Macaca mulatta: one gene and its partner. The protein of the gene in region 1 interacts with the protein of each later gene in a pairwise test. Links are inferred from orthologs where the notes say so. Each region holds a gene or a part of one and is shown on either strand. Other genes may lie near its edges.

Region 1 (4,124 bases):
AATGATTTGGCCAGGAATTGCCCAGATCACACGTACTTGCAGTCCTCGCTCTCCAGAAGGTTCCGATACGTGGCAATCTCATTCTCCAGCCGAGCCTTCACGTCCAGCAGCACCTGGTACTCCTGGTTCTGCCGCTCCAGGTCAGCCCGGATCTCGGACAGCTGCTCCTCCACGTTGCTGATGAGGCTCTGCATCTGGGCCAGCTCCGTGCCGAAGCGGTCCTCAGCTTCACACAGGGAGTTCTGCAGACAGTCCTTCTGTAGTGGGAAATAAGGGGATAAAATGTGCAAGGGCCCCAGGGAAACTGCTACATGCTCCAAATTTTGATGGTGATAACAGGTGGGAGAAACCTGGGCGGTGAGACCTCCAAAATAAAAGGCTACTAGGCCATGGCATGGGGCATTTGCAGTGCAGTGAGGGTGAAGGACACATACCAAGGTGTGCTGGGCTTGGCGCTCCACCTCCAGGGCATTCACCGTGCATCTCAGCTCCAGGATCTCCGACTGGCAGCACTGCAGCTCCTCAGAGCAGGACATGGCCTGCAGGCTGATGCCTTCAGACTAGAGCACAGAGAGACATAGTCACCTCCCTGCCCAGATGGAGGCCAGGTACTCTCCAGCTCTGTACCCACCCCTCGTTCACCTGGGCTTGGAACCACTGTTCTACATCCTGGCGGTTGGTCTCCACCATGGCCTCGTACTGAGCCCGCATCTCCCCCAGCACCCTGTTCAGGTCAATGGTGGGCTCAATGTCCAGCTCAATCCGGAGCTTCTCCCCCAGTTGACTCCTCAGAATCTTTACTTCCTGCAGAAAGGAGGAAGGGACAGACAGCCTGTGTGAAGAGAGGACCTTTGATGGAGCAGACAGCACCAGGACCCTGACCCTGCAAGCAGTGGGAGGGGAGTCCCACACACAAGCAAATGGGAAAGTCTTGCTGAGAGTGCAGTGGGGAGAGCCCACCTGGACACCTTCCTCGTGCCCAAGGCAAGTCTGCACTTTCCACAGAGGCCCTCTGGACCCTCAGACCCCCCTCAGTCCTGCATCCTGATACCAGCTGAGCCCAGACAATGCTCTGAGAGCCCCGGGGCCAGGGAGCTCCCCTGTCTGCCCAGCACCCTCCCCGGGAGTCTGAGCAGCCAGGGCCACACCTGCTCATGGTTGCTCTTGAGGGACAGCTGCTCCTCCTTCAGGGACTCCTGCTGGGCCTCCAGGTCAGCCTTGGCCAGGGTCGCGTCATCCAGGAGCTTCTGCGTCCCACACTGGTCCGCCTCTACCAGCTGGCGTAGGGAGCGCTCACTCTCCAGCCTTCCATCACGGGAGGTACAGGGTCAACAAGAATGCCCCAAGAGCCCCTCTCGGCTGCCCTGCCTTCCTACCTCCCACACCACCTTGGATCCTCATTTGTTCACTGTTTAGCCCTCTGGCCTCGAAGGTGAATTAGACACAGCCCCCCTTCTCAAAGAGCTCATGGTCTAATGAAGCAATCACAACACTACATTGCACAATATACATTTTTGCCATTGTATTCTGTGGCAACTGCAGTTCAGGAAGATGAACTGACTTGCCTAAGATCATGCATCTTGGGACCAACACTCGTGCCATTGCGGGGACTGTCAGTTACCAAAGATAAGCAATAGCCAGGTGCCTGATCGTGATCTGCGGCTCCTTATGCCTTACTTTTCAGCTGTCTTCCCCTCTCTCATTTTTGCCTAGGTACCTTATGCCTGGTACCTTAGGGCTCCATAATTAAATCTGAACAAAGACTCATCTGTAAACGACTTCTCTGACTTATATATGAAACCCAATGGCTGTCTTGCTCAGTTCATCCTTGAAATCCCCTCATTTTGCTCCTGGTGAATGAACTCAGGCTCCCTTATCCTCCATTTTAGGGAAATAAATGAAGGAGGACAAACATATATGCTTGGATTAATGAGGAGTTTTCCCTTCCATCTTTCATCAGCTTTGATTGTAATGAAAATTTTACTGTGGAGAATCTAGCAAGGAAGACAGGACAAACATTCACTCACTCAACAAGTATTTGGGCACTGGGATGGAGGGTGGGGAGGGAGTCACCCTGGCCCTCCTCCACCTGACTTACTTGATCCTAAAGTCATCGGCAGCCAGCTTAGCATTGTCAATTTGTACAATCAGCCTGGCATTCTCGGCCTTGCTGCACAGGATCTGAGGAAAACGGAAAGACGGTTCACACACAAAGCATCATACTCTAAGCTCCCACTCCACGTGTGGTGTCTACGCTCATGTCCAAGAGAAACCAAGAACCCAAAGCTCTCTGGACCTTATGTGGATTCCTCCTGCGAAGGCTTCTGCCTTCTCAGACCCAGCACGCCCAAGTGATCCCACACCTCACCTTCTGCTGGAGCTCCTCGATGGTGCGGAAGTAGGACTGGTAGTCCGGGCACACAGTGGACTCGTGGCACTTGCTCCTCTCGAGGAGTGTGGCCTCCAGCTCCGCGTTCTCCCGCTCCAGCTGGCGCACCTTCTCCAGGTAGTTGGCCAGGCGGTCGTTCAGGAACTGCATGGTCTCCTTCTCATGGCCATTCAGGGTGTTTTCACCATAGGCCCCACAGATTCCAATGTTGCCAGGAATGTGACAGGTCCCTGGCAAGGGACAAGCATTGTGGCAGGTTGGGGGCAGGCAGAGGCTGGGGCGGCCCAGGGGAGTCGACCCCACGCGGACTCGGTTGGCATGTGCCACGTTGGCCAAAAGGCACATGGGGGCAACGTTGGCCTCTGCCCCGGGCTGGCACCCAACGTCGATGGGAGAGACAGAGACATTTCTTGCTCCAGGAGCCATGGTGCAAACCAGAGGGCATGAGGAGCTGCTGTAGGAGGAGGTCATGGTGTAGGGCTGAGACTGCACAGGAGCTTCAGATCAGCTGGGAACGCCGAGCCACTGAGACTGAGGTCTCCTCTCCTCCCAGCCCTTTTATACCCCGTCCTGGGTGGGTGTTGGCTCCAATGCTTTGACCTCCTGCCTTGATTATCTACCTGTTGTGGTGCCATCATCCTGTTACTCAGCTGCTGAGTTTACCATGAAAAGTTTCTCAGCTCATTAAAGGAATGTTGACGAATCTGAGATGCCTCTTGGCTCTTTGAAATCAGGTTGGCTGCTGGTGGGAGGTCAGAAGGTTTTTATTATTTTTCAAAGAAGCAAAGTTATTTTAGCCATCAGATGCTTAGACCTTGACTGGGTTTGGCCTCTTTATGGATGTCTCCACTCTGGAGACACAAACTTTCCTGTTGGTCAGTGGTGTAGCAGGAGGACTAACCCTTGTAATGGCAATGGTTCTCACTTGGGTTAAGACTCAACCAGCCTTCCCTATCCAAGGAAGAAACTAAGTCTTGGTATTGGTGGATGTTACGGCCTTGGGTTATCAAGAAGTCCTACATTTCTTCTTTCTTTAGTTGGTTGCCTTTCAGACTCACTTTGAGGAGCAACAAGACTTAGATGAATCCATTCACTCAACACACATCCCCTAGCTATGTCCCATTTGTCAGGCACCTTGCTGACACTTGACATATAGTTGGTTAAGCACAGAACAGTTCCTGTCATTGGGGAACAACTGTAACTTGGATAGATGTGATGTTTCAAACAAGGTATCTGAGAAGCTTATGAAAATGAGGATGACTCCAAAAACCATGGCTTATCTCGACCAAGAAGGCAAGCTCAAGAAGCCAGAAAAAAACAAAAAGAAATGAGCAATAATCTTACTGAACCTCAAATAAGAACTTTGAGAAAAGAACTCATGAAAGCCAAAGAACATTGAGTGATCAGAGCCTCTGTGGGCTCTCTTCATACTTTGCTTCCTTGATTCTAAAATCAGTCATGAGCCTTCACCCTATGAGCTAGGGGATTGAGCAGTGATACCTTTTAATCTTTACTTCCAACCTGGGAGGTGGGTACTCTTAATTTTATAAAATAAATAAATAAGCCATTGAGGACAAGAGATGTGAAGTCATTTTTCTAAGATCAACCCCACTATGAAGTATAAAGCCTATTCTCAACATCAGCTTCTTTCAACTGCAGAAGCTATTTCTTCACCTTGACTACCACCAAATCTCCCACCCCCAAGGATAACTACTGTGTCATTGCTAGAACTAAG
Region 2 (3,648 bases), on another chromosome or scaffold:
GAAACAGCCCTGTGGGAGTCACACGGGAAGGAACTATAGGAAGGGTGTTTGCGAATAAGAGTCACTAGAACAAGCAAGCCAAAATTGATGACAGTCTACGCACACTGTGTAAAATGTACCAGTGAACATCTAGCATGGCGGGGCCACCATTTTCGTCTTGCAAACACATTCTCTTATAAACACGAAAACCCAACACTGATGAATTAAAGGTTATCCAGAGTACGAAAGGCATCTGAAATAGACACAGCGTTAAATGCAATTTCTCCCTAATGACAGGGACTGCCTCCTTAAATTTAGTATCTCTTCACTCCTTTACCAAAAGTTTAGGACCTTCTTTGTAACCAGGAACCACCTGGGAACCACCTTTCTTCCGACTTACGTGGGGTATCCTCGCACTCCCTGGGCGGAGCACACATCGGAGTGGGCCGTGCAGTCCACTTTAGCCACATAGACTTTGGCATCTTCCATGCTGTTATATTTGTCTCCCAGGTCATTCCAAGTTGGCTGCAGCCGCTGGCAGTGTCCACACCTGGAACAAAGCAAGAGCACAAGTGCACTGAGTACCAGCTCACAGGGCAGCTGGCCCACAATTTCAGCCCTGTCCAGGAGGCAATGGGGCTCTCAGTCCTTTCTTTACACCACTGCAGATGGCAGCTCCTGGACCAGTACTCCAGGACCTCTCTCCCCTGCTCCCTCCCCTCCAGAGTCGCTGCCCTGTTCTCAGCATGAAACCTCGGCCCTGTGCCAGCATTAAACCCAGCAGAGTGTTGTTCTGGATCCTACTTGTTCTGGCCCTGCTGACTTCCCACTTGACTTCTATTCCAGAGTCCACCCTCCTTCCCTTGCGGCCTAGTCCTGAGCCCTACTGCAGCATCTGCAGTGTTCCCAAAGGGCTATCGCTTGGTTTGGCCCTGGGACACGTTCTCTGACACTTCCTCTGTAAACTCCACCTAACTAAATCTACCCGCCCTTCAGGTAGATTGGGTGTCACCTCCTCCAGCAAGTCTGCCCTGACTCCCCGGGCCATTCAGTGCCCGTTCTCTTCTCCTGCCCTTCTGGAAAGCCCCTCTACTCCTCCCTTGACAGTAGCTTAGCACCTCCTGCCGTATCTGCTACTTTTACTCACAAACCAAACAGCGACAAATACAAGGCAATCTCAAAATTTACTCAATTGCAATTTTCTCCAATGAGGAGGAAAAAAAAATTTGTGGCCACCTAAACTTCTAGGGTTGAAGTAAGCAAACGTCTATAGTATTTATTGTATGAATTCAGTTATGTACAAATAGTTTTAAATCACCTATCATTTAAAAGAGTATATTAATTAGGCTTCTTCCGTGCTTCACATTTCACGAGGATATCAGCATCTTTCCCAACACTAGATCTTGAGTCCTACAGCTGACCACAGCTCTTCCCGCATTCTCAGGACAGTATGTCCACAGTGCCATACCTGAATTTTTAATGAGACAACCCTAGAAACTTTATCCCAAGTTTCAACTACAATCCCATAGCATGATGACACATGGATTTGTTATTTAATATGGTAGGAATACACTGATGCCTACAATATAACCACTTTGCTGTATCGCTTTTTTAAATGCTTTTTTTTTTAAATAAAAACACTTGCTTATAAGAACACCCAACGCTTAGAATTGTGACTTCTTCCTCAAAATAATTTAATAATCTCTGTTAAATCTTTTTTATTTTCTGACAGATTACCTCAAAAATAAGCATTTAAGTTGGATCCAGTGGCTCATGCCTGTAATCCCAGCACTTTGGGAGGCTAAGACAGGAGAACTGCTTGAGCCCAGGGGTTCAAGACTGGCCTGGACAACACAGCAAGACCCCCCCATCTACAAAAAGTTTTTAAAAATTAGCCTGGTGTGGTGGCACACACCTGCAGTCCTAGCTACTTGGGAGGCTGAGGCAGAAGGATCACTTGAGGCCAGGAGTTTGAGGCTGCAGTGAGCTATGATCACACCACTGCACTCCAGCCTGAGTGACAGAGTGAGATTTTGTCTCTTAAGAAGAAAAGGATTCAAGCCAGGCGCGGTGGCTCACACCTGTAATCCCAGCACTCTGGGAAGCCAAAGCTGGTGGATCACGAGGTCAGGAGTTTGAGACTAGCCTGACCAACATGGTGAAACCCCATCTCTACTAAAAATACAAAAATTAGCTGGGCGTGGTGGCACGCACCTATAATCCCAGCTACTCAAGAAGCTGAGGCAGGAGAAGAATCGCTTGAACCTGGGAGGTGGAAGTTTGCAGTGAGCTGAGATCATGCCATTGCACTCTAGCCTGGGCAACACAGCAAGACTCCCGTCTCAAAAAAAAAAAAACAAAAGAAAAGAAAAAAAAGGATTTAAAAGTAGCACTGAAAAAGTCTGCCTCAAGATAATGTTTCTTCCCTAAACAGCACTTTCTTGGCCAACTAAGAGAATCCCTGCTTTATGAGACACTCAGATACAAAAAAAAAAAAAAGCACAGTGAAACTATACATACAGATTTAACTTCTGTAGATTCAACAAAGTGAGTTTGTGTGGCGGAGAGAAGGAAACAAGAAAAAAAGGCAATTCCCACAGAACCCTAACGTGTGTGCAAGCTGGGAGATGTGAGGTTTTTGTTCTTCAGCTGGTCTTGGTTCCTGCGTGCTTCTCATGGCATGAGCATTTCTCTGACTATATTAAGCGTGACCTGCCGTCTAAAGACAGGTTTGAGAACTAGTCCATCGGTGTTTAACCAAAGCAGCCATGATAGTTCTAATGCTGGAGGAAACGCTGGCAGTGAGGACTTACTGACTGACTGGGGCGGTGTCCAACAAGGTACCTTCCTAAGGGACTGTCAAGGGCAGTTCTGACCCTAGGGGACTTTGATCAGTTATGCTCATTCTGGAACTTTAGAACTCCTCTGCAATCTTGACGAGGTTTTGTTGTGTTACCGTGTTTTGTTTTGTTTTGTTTTTTGTTTTTTTTTGTGTGTGAAAACACAAGATTAGATTAAGAATGAGAATAAACAATAAGTAAGTTTGTGCTACACTAAATCAAAACTGACCTTTCTGGGCCATCACCAAGTTGGATGTGCCCTTGCTCCTGGCAGTGATGGGGCCACAGGTGCTATCTAGTTGGCCCTGTGGCTACAGCACCCAGCTCTGAGACAGACAGCTGCATTCACAAAGAAGCCTGTGGCCAAGAAGTAGAGCAAAGCTACCTGGTCCAAATCTTGACCTCACTGTCACCAGGTTCGGGGTGACTCACAAACTAGCCATACAGAAGCTGTGACCGGATGTTGGCACAAAATCTACAGCAGTAGGACAACCCTGCAGCTGCCAAGCTTAGGGCAAAAATACACAGATCAATGTTTTTGTTACAGGGGCTCCCGCCCCTTAATCACACGTGGGCTTTCACCATTTGACGGCAGCAGAAACTGGAAAAAGGTATGTGTGTTGAGGGGGAGTCCACTGAGTATTCTATCTGAGGTCTAAAGGCTCAGCTGACCACTCCAGGACCTCCTTCCCTCCCCTGCAAAGGCCCCTCCAGAGTCACCACCTTGTTCTCAGCATTACACTTATTAAGCTGTTGTTCCAGGTATTGTTGGTCCTACTTGATCTGGCCCCCCTGACCTCCCATTTGACCTCTCTGTCCACTCTGCCTC

The links.
Region 2: the proteins of keratin, type I cuticular Ha8 (region 1) and TXNDC5 interact in a two-hybrid assay, tested with the Homo sapiens proteins (2 studies listed by BioGRID and IntAct). The link is inferred for Macaca mulatta from reciprocal best matches to the Homo sapiens genes KRT38 and TXNDC5.

Annotation. Positions count from the first base shown.
Region 1 is NC_133421.1:65,781,938-65,786,061, forward strand, and holds the start of keratin, type I cuticular Ha8, read right to left. Parts: upstream 2,923-4,124; 5' UTR 2,861-2,922; coding exon 2,369-2,860; intron 2,182-2,368; coding exon 2,099-2,181; intron 1,306-2,098; coding exon 1,149-1,305; intron 805-1,148; coding exon 643-804; intron 561-642; coding exon 435-560; intron 258-434; coding exon 37-257; intron 1-36.
Region 2 is NC_133409.1:175,276,654-175,280,301, reverse strand, and holds part of TXNDC5 (thioredoxin domain-containing protein 5), read right to left. Parts: intron 530-3,648; coding exon 380-529; intron 1-379. UniProt on the Homo sapiens protein: Protein disulfide isomerase of the endoplasmic reticulum lumen involved in the formation of disulfide bonds in proteins. Can reduce insulin disulfide bonds.